Saccharomyces cerevisiae S288C: one gene and its partners. The gene in region 4 interacts genetically with the main gene of each other region. Each region holds a gene or a part of one and is shown on either strand. Other genes may lie near its edges. The genes, in order: HOS2, MCM21, YTA7 and GIM4.

The links.
Region 1: mutations in GIM4 (region 4) and HOS2 together harm fitness more than expected from each alone (negative genetic interaction), as found in Saccharomyces cerevisiae (6 studies listed by BioGRID, with this or other methods).
Region 2: mutations in GIM4 (region 4) and MCM21 together harm fitness more than expected from each alone (negative genetic interaction), as found in Saccharomyces cerevisiae (5 studies listed by BioGRID, with this or other methods).
Region 3: mutations in GIM4 (region 4) and YTA7 together harm fitness more than expected from each alone (negative genetic interaction), as found in Saccharomyces cerevisiae (5 studies listed by BioGRID, with this or other methods).

Annotation. Positions count from the first base shown.
Region 1 is NC_001139.9:139,850-143,675, forward strand, and holds HOS2 (histone deacetylase HOS2), read right to left. Parts: upstream 1,878-3,826; coding exon 519-1,877; downstream 1-518. Other genes in the region: YGL194C-A (uncharacterized protein), read right to left, coding at 1-112; YGL193C (uncharacterized protein), read right to left, coding at 2,067-2,378; IME4 (mRNA (N6-adenosine)-methyltransferase), read left to right, coding at 2,397-3,826.
Region 2 is NC_001136.10:1,102,235-1,105,522, forward strand, and holds MCM21 (Mcm21p), read left to right. Parts: upstream 1-1,523; coding exon 1,524-1,575; intron 1,576-1,658; coding exon 1,659-2,713; downstream 2,714-3,288. Other genes in the region: HIM1 (Him1p), read left to right, coding at 1-1,194; YFT2 (Yft2p), read right to left, coding at 2,769-3,288. UniProt on the Saccharomyces cerevisiae protein: Component of the kinetochore, a multiprotein complex that assembles on centromeric DNA and attaches chromosomes to spindle microtubules, mediating chromosome segregation and sister chromatid segregation during meiosis and mitosis.
Region 3 is NC_001139.9:1,025,428-1,032,072, forward strand, and holds YTA7 (chromatin segregase YTA7), read left to right. Parts: upstream 1-1,942; coding exon 1,943-6,082; downstream 6,083-6,645. Other genes in the region: FOL2 (GTP cyclohydrolase I), read right to left, coding at 1-308; HUA1 (Hua1p), read right to left, coding at 630-1,226; SLH1 (RNA helicase), read left to right, coding at 6,364-6,645. UniProt on the Saccharomyces cerevisiae protein: Functions as an ATP-dependent nucleosome disassembly factor that helps evict canonical histone H3 from the 5'-end of genes upon their induction.
Region 4 is NC_001137.3:146,359-149,099, reverse strand, and holds GIM4 (tubulin-binding prefolding complex subunit GIM4), read right to left. Parts: upstream 925-2,741; coding exon 906-924; intron 818-905; coding exon 501-817; downstream 1-500. Other genes in the region: WBP1 (dolichyl-diphosphooligosaccharide-protein glycotransferase), read left to right, coding at 1-378; YEA4 (Yea4p), read right to left, coding at 1,121-2,149; VAB2 (Vab2p), read left to right, coding at 2,345-2,741. UniProt on the Saccharomyces cerevisiae protein: Binds specifically to cytosolic chaperonin (c-CPN) and transfers target proteins to it. Binds to nascent polypeptide chain and promotes folding in an environment in which there are many competing pathways for nonnative proteins.

The DNA of each region.
Region 1 (3,826 bases), on a different chromosome or scaffold from region 4:
TTAAATAGCGTCTCAGAAATAACTTATAAGAGAGGTTTATTATTAGAACTATCAATAAAATTAGAGCAATAATTTTAAACGGTTTGATACAAGTTATCTCTTTATTAGACATAATTGTCCAGATGTATTACATGAACTGAGTGACTTGCTCTAATGTTGTAGACACTGATGTCCGGTTTAATTAAGAAAGATTTTGGAAGTTTCACGATATCGATAATGCTGCGGGAGAAGCTTTCAAATTATAAGAAAAGGCTTTTTTTTGTTGTTTTCAGAGTAGTTTGGTGACTTGTCCGTTTCAGAAGTGTCTCGAATACGGAGTGCACCTTCCAAAAATGTTTCTGACGGCATCGAAGAGCCGAACTCTTATACAATACATGTCATTTTTAACAATGATGCAAATAACTTTTAAGGCCTTAACACTCTACATAATATGCTAAAAACATTAAAAAAAAAAAAAGGAAAATAAAAAAAAAAAAAAAAAAAAAAACGGGAGATTAACCGAATAGCAAACTCTTAAACTATGAAAAGGCAATCAATCCACTGTTTTCTTTTTCCATTTCTTCTAGCCTATTTGAACTGTCTGCTTCTGTTTCTTCATTCATTTCTTGAATGATTTTATCCTCTTCTTCTGTCAGGGCACTTATATCTTGTGTCGGTATGCATTCAGCATCCATTCTGACACTTGGTGCTCCTTGCAAGTATCTGATATTTTCTAGACATCGTATTCTAATGTCTTCCAGTAGTTTTTTACTGTTTTTGTTTTCGTATAAGTCATCTAACATAGGATAAAGTGAATAATCCGGCCCGAATGAGTCCCGGAATGGGATATCTTCGGGGATGTCTTCTGGTAGCAAGACATCATTTAAAATTCCTGTCTCGTAGGTCCAAAGCCGTGATACATTTCTAGGTGTATAACCTCCACCGCCCACTACTAGCATTGGTAGACCAAATGATTTGACAAATTTTACGCATTCTCCATGTGCCTTTATATTTAAATTGAAGCATCCTAAGCGATCATGACCTAAGGAATCCGCACCGCATTGTTGGACAATAAGTGTTGGTTTGAAAGTCATTATTAGAGGATCTACAATTGACTTGAAAAGGTTTATATATGAGTCGTCATCTATGCCATCTTCTAGGGGTACATTTAATGCGAAATGTTTTCCTTTGTCGCAACCAATTTCTGTCAGATCACCAGTTCCTGGGAAAAATTCGCCATTATATTTATGAAAAGACAACGTGAAGACCCTATCTGTGGTGTAAAATGCCTCCTGGACACCATCGCCGTGATGTAAGTCGATATCGATATAAAGGATTCTTGGGTGATATCGTAATAAGTTCAAAATAGAAAGCACAATATCATTTACATAGCAAAACCCAGATGGACTATTCTTTTTTGCATGATGAAGACCACCAGACCAATTTATCGCTATGTCCGATTGATTGTTGATTAGTTTCCTGGTGGCGTCAAGGCTCGCACCAGTGTATAGTGTTGTATAATCATATAAATTTTGAAAAATAGGACAGTCGTCTCCAATGTTAAAATTTTCAAGTGTGCCTCTGGGCAGTTTGTTTGCATTTTCTGGTGAAACCTTCGAGAGAAAATTCACGTAGTCTTCCGAGTGAAATTGTAGTAATTCGTCTCTGGTAGCGCTTCTTGTTTCATAAAGGTCCATAATCTTGTGCAATCCATAAGAGGAAACTAGGTGATCCGTTAGCATTAACCGAAACGGCTTCATTGGATGCTTAACACCATAATGGTAATGTGAAACTTTGGAGTTAAAATGATACGATACCCTGGGAGAATAAGCAGAATTAAACTCAAATAATGGTTCGTTCTCCTTTGTTTTCACATCATAACTAAATGTTCCAGACATGTTGCGTGTTGTTATTCACTTGATACCTGATTTTAACGTACTTGAGTAATCTGGCGTCTTTTCTATAACTGTACATTGGCGACACACCTAAAACTGATTAGAATCGTTTCAAGATGCTTTCAGTTCAACATTTAGTAACATAGTAGGAATATCACGTTTAACGATGCCCCAAAGAACATCGAGAATCCTCTATATAGAGTATAAACAGGGCATTCTACATTGGTATAGAGGTGCCTTAGGTATATAGTGGTACCGGTCACATAAATTGACGGGAATATGCGTCTTTAGGCGGCTTTTGGCGTACAGTATTGTTCTTTCTTTCGTGCTTGTGAAACTTGTTATAAACAAAGAAAGAGAAAGATCTCCCCGGCATTCTGGAAGATCGGTAACCGCTGGAGCTATAGGAAAGGGAGATGGATAACAGTAAAGAAAACGGACCATATAAGTTAGCATTGGGGGTTTTCGAAAAAAATAAGAATTGGCATTCAGACTTGAATTCATAAAAGTTGTAAGCAGGCTATGATTAACGATAAACTAGTACATTTTCTGATCCAGAATTATGATGACATCCTAAGAGCACCGCTTTCTGGACAGCTCAAAGATGTGTATTCACTGTACATCAGTGGCGGATACGATGATGAGATGCAGAAGTTGAGAAACGATAAAGACGAGGTCTTACAGTTTGAACAGTTTTGGAATGATCTTCAGGATATTATATTTGCAACGCCGCAGTCCATTCAATTTGACCAGAATCTATTAGTGGCAGATAGGCCAGAAAAAATTGTTTACCTGGACGTTTTTTCCTTGAAAATTCTCTATAACAAGTTCCATGCCTTCTACTATACATTAAAATCGTCCAGTTCTTCATGTGAAGAAAAAGTGTCGAGTTTAACAACAAAACCGGAAGCTGATTCGGAAAAAGACCAACTGCTGGGTAGACTGCTTGGAGTCCTGAACTGGGACGTTAACGTCAGCAACCAGGGGTTACCACGTGAACAACTGAGCAATCGCTTACAAAATTTATTGAGGGAAAAACCATCATCTTTTCAGCTTGCTAAAGAAAGAGCCAAATACACGACCGAGGTCATTGAATACATCCCGATATGTAGTGACTATTCGCATGCATCTCTATTGTCCACCTCGGTGTACATTGTCAATAACAAAATCGTTTCTTTACAATGGTCCAAAATATCCGCATGTCAGGAAAATCACCCAGGATTAATTGAGTGCATTCAATCAAAAATTCACTTTATCCCTAATATCAAACCACAAACTGATATTTCGTTAGGAGATTGTTCCTATTTGGATACCTGTCATAAATTAAATACGTGTCGATACATTCATTACCTGCAATATATTCCGTCATGCTTGCAAGAGCGAGCTGATCGTGAAACTGCGAGTGAAAATAAAAGAATACGGTCAAACGTTTCCATTCCATTTTATACTCTGGGCAATTGCTCCGCACATTGTATCAAAAAGGCTTTACCTGCACAGTGGATCCGTTGCGATGTGCGGAAATTTGATTTTAGGGTTCTTGGAAAGTTTTCGGTAGTTATTGCAGATCCTGCATGGAATATCCATATGAACCTACCATACGGTACTTGCAACGATATTGAACTATTAGGTTTGCCTTTGCACGAACTACAAGATGAAGGTATTATTTTTCTTTGGGTGACGGGTAGAGCTATAGAATTGGGTAAAGAGTCTTTGAATAACTGGGGTTACAACGTGATAAATGAAGTTTCATGGATAAAGACAAACCAACTGGGTAGAACAATTGTTACAGGTCGTACGGGTCATTGGTTAAATCATTCTAAGGAGCATTTATTGGTGGGCTTAAAGGGTAATCCAAAGTGGATCAACAAACATATTGACGTCGATTTGATCGTATCAATGACCAGAGAGACTAGTAGAAAGCCTGATGAACTGTATGGTATAGCAGAACGGTT
Region 2 (3,288 bases), on a different chromosome or scaffold from region 4:
TCTAGTTTAGTAGGAAAAGGTATTTTAGAGAACCTGTTGGACATAAATTTATATATTAAAAATGTTTCGGACCTACAAGGCAAGCTTGATAGCTTAAGTGAAATAAAGGGAAATGTCGTTCTCAATAAACATGTCTTTTGTGTTAATAGAAGGTGCATCAATGAGGAGAAATCATTTATGAAGACCATTGATTATATAAATATGAGATCAGTTACTTGGCAAGGTGGCAGATATTACTTGAGAAGCAGGAAAGAAAAAGACACTGAAAAAGTACCGTCTAGTCCTAATACTTTTTGTTATGATAATTTTGAAGAAGGATTTATTAAAAATACGCCTGAAGAGAGGGGAAAAGATGGTTATTCTTTTGTTTATAATCAGAAACAGTTCAGTTACACACTACATTATGCATGCGGAAAGGAAAAAGGTATTGAGATCATTTGTAATTTTACTGTAACGCAATTGATCATCCCCAGATCTGAAACTTGGCCAAAATTGCTTCCACGGATATTCTCAGGAACACAAAAGCTGGAAAAGTTTGACATTGACAACAAAAATTACGTTCCCGGTAGAAGTTTGCCTAGTCTGTGTGATATTAGCACTATGGTGTGCTCTTTGGGCTCCACCTCAGCTAGAGTGCGGAGAACTCAGGTACCAAGTTCCTTTGCTGACTATTACTTACCTTTTAATTTAGCACAAGAATTCACGAATACAACTAACAAAAGGTTGGTGGTTACAACTGCCTTTAATAATGATTTTCTTAGTAAAACTTTCGAGTATTTTAGAATAAAAGCTAAATTAGAAAATGACTTGGATGAAGCTTTGCCAAATAAGCTAAAGGAGCTAGTTATTTTGAGGCCAGGTCCGATGTGTGGACAGCACGGAAATCCTATAAACGTTGAATTGGGTAAAGAAAACTCCACTTTCTTGGAAAAAATTTTTTATTATCCTCACTATCTTTTAGTTTATAAAAAGAAATATATCAGTGAGGCCAGAAGGATTGGCTTAAGAACAAAGTTAAGCGAAATAATTGCTTCCAGTATATATAGGATGCCAGGATCTGCATTATTAGGATACGCTGTCCCAGTTTCAAAGGTTTCTTATGTTGCCTCTTTGATGGCGATTGAAAGGAAAAGTAAAGAGGCGGGACCTAAGCTGGAAGTAATTAGCAGTTATCAAATTGATATGATTGTGTGAACAGTCAGTCTTTTCTTTTGATAGATGCGAAGTTATTAAATAAATAGTAGCCTAATACATAAAAGAACCACTATATCATGGATTCGATACCTGGGCCGTCTTAAATTTTTATCGCATTGAATATGCAAACTTTATGTATTGTTTTACTAATCGCCAGTAATGGCCGACCAATTCTATGATAGATCTTCCCTAAGTTTATAATGATGGTAAGAAAACGCGCATATTTCAAAACTGAAGAAAAAACAAACAAAAGCCATATGGATAATGAGGGGAAAATGTGATTTCTTTACTTGAGCAATTCTTTCAAACTATCAGTAACGCTCCTGGCAATGAGTAGAATCGATGATTTACAGCAGGACATTGAATCTTTACTCAGTGAAAGTATGTGATTTTGAGGCTGTAACAATTTTCTTTCTTTTAAAAAAATGATTAAGTTGAACACTAACATAGTAGAATCTTCACAGTCAATTCATTAGAAGAAAGTCGTGAGAAGCTCAAAGCGAAGATAAAAGATAAAAGAAAAAATGAGGAGAGCGCTAATCCTATAGTACAAGAATTTGAAGATCTATTCGATCAATTCCCACAGTTGAATAATTTTTTATTTAATGAGCATCCAGAATTGGAAGAGACAGATGACAAGGACATATCAAGGGCGCAAGCGGATATACCAGCAACGCCAATACCGTATGAACCAAAGAAAAGAGCTAAGCTGGAGAATGAGGAAATTTTACCAGAACAAGAATGGGTTTTAAAGACCCAGCCAATGGTTCAGCATCAAATGTTTGATCCTGGGGTGGCAGATTTATTGGATACAGACATTCTAACGTCACCTTCAAAAAGAAAGCGAAAACTAAAAATAGACGATATTAGTACAAGTGATAGAAGTGAGTTGGAAGATTATATTGTCCTGGAAAATGTTTATAGAATGTTTGGTATAACATTTTTCCCTCTTGTGGACCCTATTGACCTTAAGATAAAAGATGCTAGCGGTGAAATATTTGTTGATAGAGAAATGCTGGGAATACGACTGGAAGTCTTCAGCGAACGGACATCCCAATTTGAAAAACCTCACTATGTATTGTTGAAAAAGAGGATCAAATCGAATAGTTGGTTCCTGTTCAAGCATACAATCCCGAGTTTCATTGATGTCCAAGGTATATTTGATGACACCAATGGGGGACTAGTGATATCTCATGATGACGCCTATTTATTTGCTAAAAGAGTCTTCCTGCAACTTGTGGAAGTACAGAAAAGACGACAGATTTTTAAGGACTTAGAAGCTAAGAAGATAATCCACGACTTAGATTTAGATTTAGAATCTTCAATGGTTTCGTTTTTTGTGAAGGATATTAAAGTCGAGTTGTTTGTAAAACAAAATGAAATAGTTTCATGTTCAATATTGGACGATATTCATGATTTTAGTCAAAATAATAAAAGTAAATGGGAAATTGCATTGCTCGGTTCTTTGGATGATTTGGAATTAAAATTAAACCATTCTTTCGCGACAATATTCAAGTGAATGTTAACAAAAATATACTTTATAGAAAGAGGATAGAGCTAATTTTCTCTGTTTATCATAGATATAAGTAATTGTGTAGTATCCCAATTTTGGGTAGAATGTGGTATATGAAAACAGGGCATATGAAACCCATAAGGCAACCTAACACTTTTTCCAAGATAGTATGATAATAAATAGCGGTAACCCAGAGAATACATATCCAAATTACTAGGACAGCGCAAACAATGGCAAGGCAAGCTCGTACCCACTTATTCACAACCCAAAACATATCTTCAGCTTGAACAAATCTACTGAATAAGTGAAGTTCCATCCAAAGAATCATGCTTATACTCACAAGAAAGCAGAAGTGTCCACTAATGTCAAACCCACCATCCCATTTCCCATTTTCTAGACGGCACTTTTCAGCTGATGTCGTTTTACTACCAGAACTGCATTCTCCCCCTGTCCAAATGAAAACATGATCGATAAATTGGAAATTCAAAAACAATAATAGATATTTTAGAACGAACTTGCAAGCATATTGAGTGATCATAATACTGATTATTCTATTTTTGAGCAGAGGCCAATGGTTAGTA
Region 3 (6,645 bases), on a different chromosome or scaffold from region 4:
ATGTTCGTTTGGTAACCTTTAGTGAAATAAAGCATGGCTTTAGCGTATCTTTGTGGAGTATCTAGTAGACCTTCTCTGTTGACATCTTCACCCAGTTCGGTCAAAATTGTCTTGATAGCGCCTGAAATGCGTTGAATTCGTTCCTTTTCCTCCTCTTCAGTTTCCTCTGCACGTTGTCTTGTACCCACACTTGGCCAAGAAAACCCATCTCTCTCGACAGGAGGGTTTAAAGTGTATGGAGAGGTAGGTCTAATGTTTAACGGGGTTTCATGTCTTTCTATCTCTTGCACTAATTGGATGTTATGCATTTTGGGATGATTGAAAGTATTGGTTCTAACAAAAAATGAGTCACGCACGCACAATCACGATTGAGGATGGAGTCGTATAATATTTTATGAACGGATGCTATATCGATCAGACGGTTGGCACCGTAAAAATAAATGAAAGAAGTTAAAGAAGGGCAAATCAGTCGGATTATGTGATAAGTATGTAATAGACATGTTTGAAAATTAGGAGCATTAAAATATGCTTTTCATCCTACAGTTGTTCGGTCTTTTTTCTTTTCGGTGAGCGACACAGCTTTTCTACTAAGGCCGTACCGGGTCATCCAAATCCTAAATTTTCATGCGCTAATAGCGTTGAGGCTGGGTGATAATTCTGCCTACACCATGACAAAGAGGACATATATCTTCGTCCAACAGGAATCTGGTGCGTCCGGACCCTCTGCATTCACCACATAGCACGCCACCCAGGCGAGGATCCCCTGGTTGAACGTACAAGGGCCTATTACCCTGCCATGCGTTGGTGTACACGGGCATTGTATAGTTTGTGTAATATGTCGGTGCAGAAACAACGTTATTTTGAGGTGCAAACCTCCTCCAACACGACTTGCAAGATCGTCCATTCTTCAACTTGTAACCCGTATTTCCACACTTGGAACAGTAAAACCTGGGAGGGTATGTCCAGGGCAAGCTAGGATTCTGTTGTGGCCTCGGTGGAGGCCGTGGTTGGGAACTTGTAGGCGTATAAGAGTGTGAGTGAGCATATGTTTGGGATGAGGACGTTGCTGGCATTGTCGAGGGCCTTTGGTGGGGTCTTGATTGGTGCCCTTGCGCCAAGTTAGCTGCTGGTCTTGGTGGTCGTGGCGGTTGAGATTGCAATCTCTCCTCTTCCTTGATTACGTCCTCGTAGCTCGGCAGTTCATCATCATGCGTGTCTTTAGACATAACAGTATGGTTTATACTCGTTTTATGGGTATTTTTTGGGACTGCTTAGTTCTTGACTTGAAGCCTCTTTATTCCCTTGATGGAAGTGTCACTATTAAAGATGGAGGCGGAGGCTATACCGTAGAAAATGATATGTTTGTATGTTCTGCTCTCTTCCCTCTATTAAAAGGGGGAAAGAGAAAAATAAATGGAAAAAAGCGATTAAGCCATAGGGAAAACACTCTTGTGGTGGCAAAGCATCAGATAGGCAGGCAGGAGGAAATGGCAGTGAAGTGTCAAACCAAGCATACTTTCACTGGATTGATTTGAAAGTTAATGCTGAGTTTGAGATGTTTTAAAGAGGAACTGTGGTGATCGGTTATTTCTATTCGCTTTTGTGTGCGTCTTTTCATCGTTTGCAGCTGAACTTGTTGAGGCATTAGCCGCTGAGGAATTTTTTTCTGCCTCTATAAACTTGTTTATTATCACTAAAAACGTACCGTCTGTTATTTTGTACGGCCATGTGTGCGAAAAAGGACAAAGTGGTAGCGAAAGAGCAATATTGGGACGAAAAGGAGCAGAAAAGGAACTGCGTAGGGTCTTAAATAAAGCAAAACGTCTGAAGGATCTTGCGTACTCCTTACTAACCCATTGTTGTTTTCGACAGTCATAAAAAGAAGTTACCACGGTCTATTTCTCTCTTCTCGCTATTTATTCACAATTGGTGCAGAAAGAACATGGCACGAAATTTAAGGAATAGACGCGGTAGCGACGTTGAAGATGCAAGCAACGCAAAGGTTGGGTATGAAACACAGATTAAAGACGAAAATGGCATAATCCATACAACAACTCGCTCTTTGAGAAAAATAAACTACGCAGAAATTGAGAAAGTGTTTGATTTTTTGGAAGATGACCAGGTCATGGACAAAGATGAGACGCCCGTTGATGTTACTAGTGATGAACATCATAACAACAACCAGAAAGGCGATGATGAAGACGATGATGTTGATCTTGTATCACCGCACGAAAACGCCAGAACGAACGAAGAGCTTACTAATGAAAGGAACTTGAGAAAAAGAAAAGCGCATGATCCAGAAGAAGATGACGAAAGTTTTCATGAGGAAGATGTCGACGATGATGAAGAGGAGGAAGAAGCAGACGAATTTGAAGATGAGTATTTGGATGAAGACTCGAAGGATAACAACCGTCGGCGCAGAGCGGCCGATAGGAAATTTGTAGTACCAGACCCTGATGACGATGAAGAATACGATGAGGATGACGAAGAAGGAGACAGAATAAGCCATTCGGCTTCTTCTAAACGTTTGAAAAGGGCAAATTCTCGAAGAACAAGATCGTCACGTCACCCAGAAACTCCACCACCGGTAAGAAGAGCTTTAAGAAGTAGGACAAGACATTCGCGTACTTCAAATGAAGAAAATGACGATGAGAATGATAATAGCAGGAATGAAGCGTTAACTTTAGCTGATGAAATTAGAGAGTTACAGGAAGATAGTCCTATCAGGGAAAAAAGATTTCTTCGCGAAAGAACTAAGCCGGTAAATTACAAATTACCACCACCACTAACTGCTAGCAACGCAGAAGAATTTATAGATAAGAATAACAATGCACTTTCTTTTCATAACCCATCACCTGCACGGCGTGGTCGCGGTGGTTGGAATGCTAGTCAAAATTCTGGTCCCACAAGAAGGCTTTTTCCCACTGGTGGACCTTTTGGTGGCAATGACGTAACTACAATATTTGGTAAGAATACTAATTTTTACAACCAAGTCCCATCTGCATTCAGTGATAATAACAACAATAAATTAATACTGGATTCAGACTCTTCCGATGATGAGATATTACCTCTTGGCGTGACACCGAAAACAAAGAAAGAGAACACGCAAAAAAAGAAGAAGAAAAAACCAGAAATTGCAGACCTCGATCCATTAGGCGTAGACATGAATGTAAATTTTGACGATATAGGTGGTTTAGACAACTACATTGACCAATTAAAGGAAATGGTGGCCTTACCACTATTATACCCAGAATTGTATCAAAATTTTAATATCACGCCCCCAAGGGGTGTTCTTTTCCATGGTCCTCCTGGTACGGGTAAAACACTTATGGCAAGAGCGTTAGCAGCAAGTTGTTCTTCTGATGAAAGGAAGATCACATTTTTTATGCGTAAAGGTGCAGATATTTTATCCAAGTGGGTTGGTGAAGCTGAAAGACAACTCCGTTTGTTATTCGAAGAAGCTAAAAAACATCAACCTTCCATCATTTTTTTTGATGAAATCGACGGATTAGCGCCTGTGAGAAGTTCCAAACAAGAACAGATCCATGCTAGTATTGTTTCCACATTATTAGCGCTGATGGATGGTATGGACAATAGAGGCCAAGTCATTGTCATCGGAGCCACAAATCGACCCGATGCAGTGGATCCCGCATTAAGAAGGCCGGGAAGATTTGATAGAGAATTTTATTTTCCATTACCTGATGTTAAAGCACGTTTTAAAATTTTGCAAATTCAGACCAGGAAATGGAGTTCACCGTTGTCAACCAACTTCATTGATAAATTGGCTTTTTTGACCAAAGGATATGGTGGTGCTGATCTGAGGTCCCTATGCACTGAGGCTGCACTAATAAGTATACAAAGAAGCTTTCCTCAAATTTATAGGTCAAATGATAAACTCTTGGTGGACCCTTCTAAGATTAAAGTCAAAGTTAGCGATTTCATGTTAGCTTTGAAAAAAATTGTTCCGTCATCTGCGAGATCTACTGGTAGTTCTCCTCAGCCACTACCTGAATTAATCAAACCATTACTGGCAGATCAACTTAATAATTTAAAGAACAAGCTGGATTATATGCTGAACATTAAAGACACAACTTTTCAGAGAAACACATCATTGCTACAAAATTTCATCGATTATGAAGAATACAGTGGAGAGGAAGAAGAGCATGACAAATATGGAGGAAATGAAGATACATCCAGTTTTAGATCATATGAGTTTTTCGAATCGATGGCGGAATCACAAATTTGTAAACCTCGGTTATTAATAAATGGGCCCAAGGGAAATGGTCAACAATATGTCGGAGCCGCAATTTTAAATTATTTAGAAGAATTCAACGTCCAAAACCTGGACCTTGCCTCTTTGGTTTCGGAAAGTTCTAGGACTATTGAAGCTGCTGTAGTGCAAAGTTTTATGGAAGCAAAGAAAAGACAGCCCTCAGTTGTATTTATTCCTAATTTAGACATTTGGATCAACACTATTCCAGAAAACGTTATTTTAGTCTTATCAGGTTTGTTCAGATCTTTACAAAGCAATGAAAAAATTCTTCTATTATGCTTAGCTGAAAATCTTGATATATCTGAAGTTAAAAATGGTATTTTATCTGATTTTGCTTTTGATAAAAATATCTTTCAACTGCATAAACCATCCAAAGAGAATATAACGAGGTATTTTTCTAATTTAATTGAACTACTGAAAACAAAGCCAAGTGATATTCCCATGAAAAAGAGAAGAGTCAAACCGTTACCTGAATTACAAAAAGTAACTTCAAACGCAGCTCCAACAAATTTTGATGAAAATGGTGAGCCACTGTCTGAAAAAGTGGTATTAAGAAGGAAGTTGAAATCTTTTCAACACCAAGATATGAGATTGAAAAATGTGTTAAAAATCAAACTCTCAGGCTTGATGGATCTTTTTAAAAACAGATATAAAAGGTTTAGAAAACCACCTATTGATGATGCCTTCTTGGTTCATCTTTTCGAACCAGAGACAAGCAATGATCCCAATTGGCAACCTGCATATATAAAAGATGAGAACATGATTCTGGAGGTTTCAACAGGGCGAAAGTTTTTTAACATGGATTTGGATATTGTCGAAGAGAGACTTTGGAATGGCTATTACTCAGAACCAAAACAGTTTTTAAAAGACATTGAACTGATATACAGGGATGCAAATACCATTGGGGACAGAGAACGTGTCATTAAGGCCTCTGAGATGTTTGCCAACGCGCAAATGGGTATCGAAGAAATTTCAACCCCGGATTTTATTCAAGAGTGTAAAGCTACTCGCCAAAGGGATTTGGAAAGGCAGGAACTTTTCTTAGAAGATGAAGAGAAAAGAGCTGCAATGGAATTAGAAGCCAAAGAACAGAGTCAAGAAAATATACTGCAAGAACCTGATTTAAAGGATAACAAGGCTAATGAGTTTGGTGTAGCTGCTGGTAATCAATTGCAAGCTCAGCTGCAAACAACTATCAATACAGCCTCTATCGTTAATAACAGCGAGGTCCCTCAACCAATTGATACCAACCTGTATAAAAAGGAGATTCCTGCGGCAATTCCCTCTGCAGTAGATAAAGAAAAAGCGGTCATCCCTGAGGATAGCGGTGCAAATGAAGAATACACAACGGAACTGATACAGGCCACTTGCACGTCAGAGATAACCACCGATGATGATGAAAGGGCCAGAAAAGAACCAAAAGAGAATGAAGACTCTTTGCAAACGCAGGTTACGGAAGAAAACTTCAGCAAAATAGACGCTAATACTAATAATATAAATCACGTAAAGGAAATTCAATCGGTTAACAAACCAAATTCCCTCCACGAAACGGTAGAAAAAAGGGAACGAAGTCCGATACCAAAAGAGGTTGTGGAACCGGAGCAAGGGAAGAAGAGCGACAAGGAGCTTATTTTGACGCCCGAACAAATAAAAAAAGTATCTGCATGCTTAATCGAACACTGTCAGAATTTTACGGTTTCTCAATTAGAAGATGTTCATTCGTCCGTTGCAAAAATAATATGGAAAAGTAAATCAGCATGGGATAAAACAGGAACTGTCGATGAAATAATAAAATTTTTATCTGAATAAGCAGGAGTCCATAATGTTTATATAATTCTTAAATGTAGTTAGTTCATATACATGAATGTGCACTTTTCTTGAAAAGAAATAGATTTAAAACCACACCTTGTATATATATTATGCTTTTTTCCACTACTTTATTTTAACAGTCACTGTTCTGGCATACGTTTCGGGTAATGACCGAGAATGGAATATGTATTGAACATATTGAAATTAAACATGTTCATAATATCTTCTAACACCATTGGAATTGTGAGAAGTAGATCCGTACCATCAATAGCCGGCTCAAGATGTCAACTGAATACTCTGCTGATTCATCTAAATCATTTATGATTGCAATGCAATCTATGATTGATACTTCACAAACCTTTAATCTAGATAGATCGAAAATCTCTTTACCAGATTTTGATGACGAGCTAAAAAAAGTCCAAAAGGATGAACAAAATCAAAGAACTGAACTAACTGTTCTCTCACAAGATAGAAATGATTGGGATGATATATTTGAGGAGTTTAAAGACATTTCATTTGCTCAACTGCAATCTATAATTGATTCATACAAAACAAAGAATGCA
Region 4 (2,741 bases):
CCACATATCGCTGATGATATCCAATTTGAACTAAGACAAGTGGATCCGTACTACCGTCTAACATTGTCGCCAAGCGGAAACGATTCTGAAACTCAGTATTACACCACCGGTGAATTCATCCTTCCAGACCGCCATGGAGTGTTTACATTCCTCACTGACTATCGTAAGATTGGCCTGTCGTTCACTACTGACAAAGACGTTAAAGCTATCCGTCACCTTGCTAATGATGAATACCCAAGAAGTTGGGAAATCAGCAATTCTTGGGTTTATATTAGCGCCATTTGTGGCGTCATTGTTGCGTGGATATTTTTTGTTGTTTCTTTCGTTACGACTTCCTCTGTTGGCAAGAAACTTGAAACATTCAAAAAAACAAACTAATATATGTTTTCATATCCTTTATAATTCTTTATAAATGGCTCACATAAATACATAAGAGTACCTGATTGTGTTTATTTATATTTTTTGCCAAACTAAGTACTGCAATAGATTTTATATATGGTTTAGTTTTTAACGACTTGAATCTTATTGTCTTTTTTCCATTTTTCAAACTCTTTTGCAGTTTGTATTAAGGTTTCTTTCATTTTACTTATTGTACCTTCTATGTTTTCCTTCTTAGTTTCAAGAATAGGCAAACTCGTTTGAACATCACTTTCAACAAGTGCGCCACCTATCATCCTGTAACATTTTCTCGTCGGCTCAGCGTCTTTCAGTGTTTTTATGACTATAGTGTGTTCATCTTTGTCATGACCTAATTCTATGATTTTTGTTTGCAATTCTTCCAAAATTTGTTTGTATTCATTATATTTTGCTTGAAAGACTATACACAGAGAAAACACAAAGATTGTTAGTAAGATAAAATTGGCTACATGCATTTATTAAAACCCAGAGATCGAAATTTTGCATACCGTTGTTCCTTTGTTCCATAGCTGTAATATAGTTCTCCACTTCTCATGAATGAGTTTTAAAGATTAGTGAGTTTAGGTGATGAATTCTTTTTTTTTTTTTTTTCATTTACTTCCAGGCGGCAGCGTTCGCGATTTTATCTAAACTTACGTCAACACCACTAATATAGAGTTAAGGAACATACAAGTAGGATTTAAGGTTAGTTTATAATGTGTGTTCATTTACTTTTCTTTATCGCCCCCTTGTCATTTTGCCTGGGGTGAATTGATCCCAGCGAGTATATAAAGGCACCAAAAAAGACTAGGTAGACCCCGATGTAGCCAGTATATGACAAGTTATTATCGAAAAGTCGGACGCTCAGTAAAAGACTTATAAATTTTCTTACAAGTAATGTTATGGAAAGTGTCAGAGCGTTTGTTTTACTGGCGAGGATATTAACACCCTTGACGCAAAAATATTGTGTTAACACATTGAAAAGAAGGAGAGTTTCTTCTCGCGGGACTAGAATCTTCCCTCCAAAATTTGAACACAATATTCTTTCAGACTTTCTCATCACTCGATATTCGTGAATTAACTGCTTTCGACTAAATAGAAAGAGAGGTAATGATAAAAAATGACTGTAAAAGATATTCTCCTTCCAATGCTTTCCATATTTTTGATACGTACGTTCATTGTATGCTGAAAGTAAAGATGATGTGAATGATGAAAGTACTAGTATACAAATGCCAAAAATAAAAGTGAGATCTACAGATTGGTCACTTCCAATTTTCCACGCTTGCAGTTTCAAATCTTGGTACCGAAAATCAGCATCTTTGAATAATGAGGCAATTATAGCTCCAATGGTTAAAAATAGTGTTGATAAAATCTGAATCTTTGTATATTTCCTACCATTTAATAACCAGCATGTAAACATGGTTATTACGGTTCCGAAGCATCTGAAAACGATATGAATCGGAATGGATATGTTGTATTTAAATACGTTATTATTCGTCGTAGATGAAATATAAAATAAAACGACAGTAATGACATAAACGTGAAGTGGAGTTTTCAGAGGCTTGAAGTAAGGGAAAGGTTGATGAACATCCAGAAATTCGGGGAGTCCCTGACATGTAACAAATAAAAATTGACAAAAAGTAATGAGATTATTAATGCTGCCTGTTTCGTTGCTCATTAAGGTTTCAAATGTAATAACATTGGAGCAACAACCTCCGAACACTAGAGCGAATGCTTTTAGTGAGTTCCACATTTTTTAGATTCTCCCAATCCAATTACTTCCCTGCTTATTCTCAATTGAATTCTCTTCATTTTTTCTAACTGGAGTGCAAAGCACTGAATATTTTTACTTTGCGTCGGGAGCGATTGCTTCCTTAAAATATGACAATGAATATATAAAGGAAGAGTATGCGTAACCAAACCATAAGAAAGGCAGAGAGTGCCTAGCATGGTAGCAGACTTAACTAAAGGTATACTGAAATGGAAATCAAGAATAGAATTTGATGCCGTTGGAAGCAGTTCCTATTACGAAGAGTTAAAGGGCTTACCTCCCCTTGCATCCCATAAAAAATTAACACAGGCTGCTATCTTCAATAGCACGAAGTATGAGTTATTACAAGTAAAAAAAGACATTCTGTCCATCTATGAAGTTGTAAGTAGGGACATTGACGAGGAACGCAATCAGATGCAGCAAATTGAACTTCAACTTAAAAAGTCGTTAAAAAAGGTAGAACATAGTTACAAAAACGTCTTAAAGCAAAGGGCTTCTACTAATTGTATCAATGGAAATGATCGTCTATTGGCCAATGCGGAAAAAAAAATTGGCTCGTTAAATGAAGAACTCG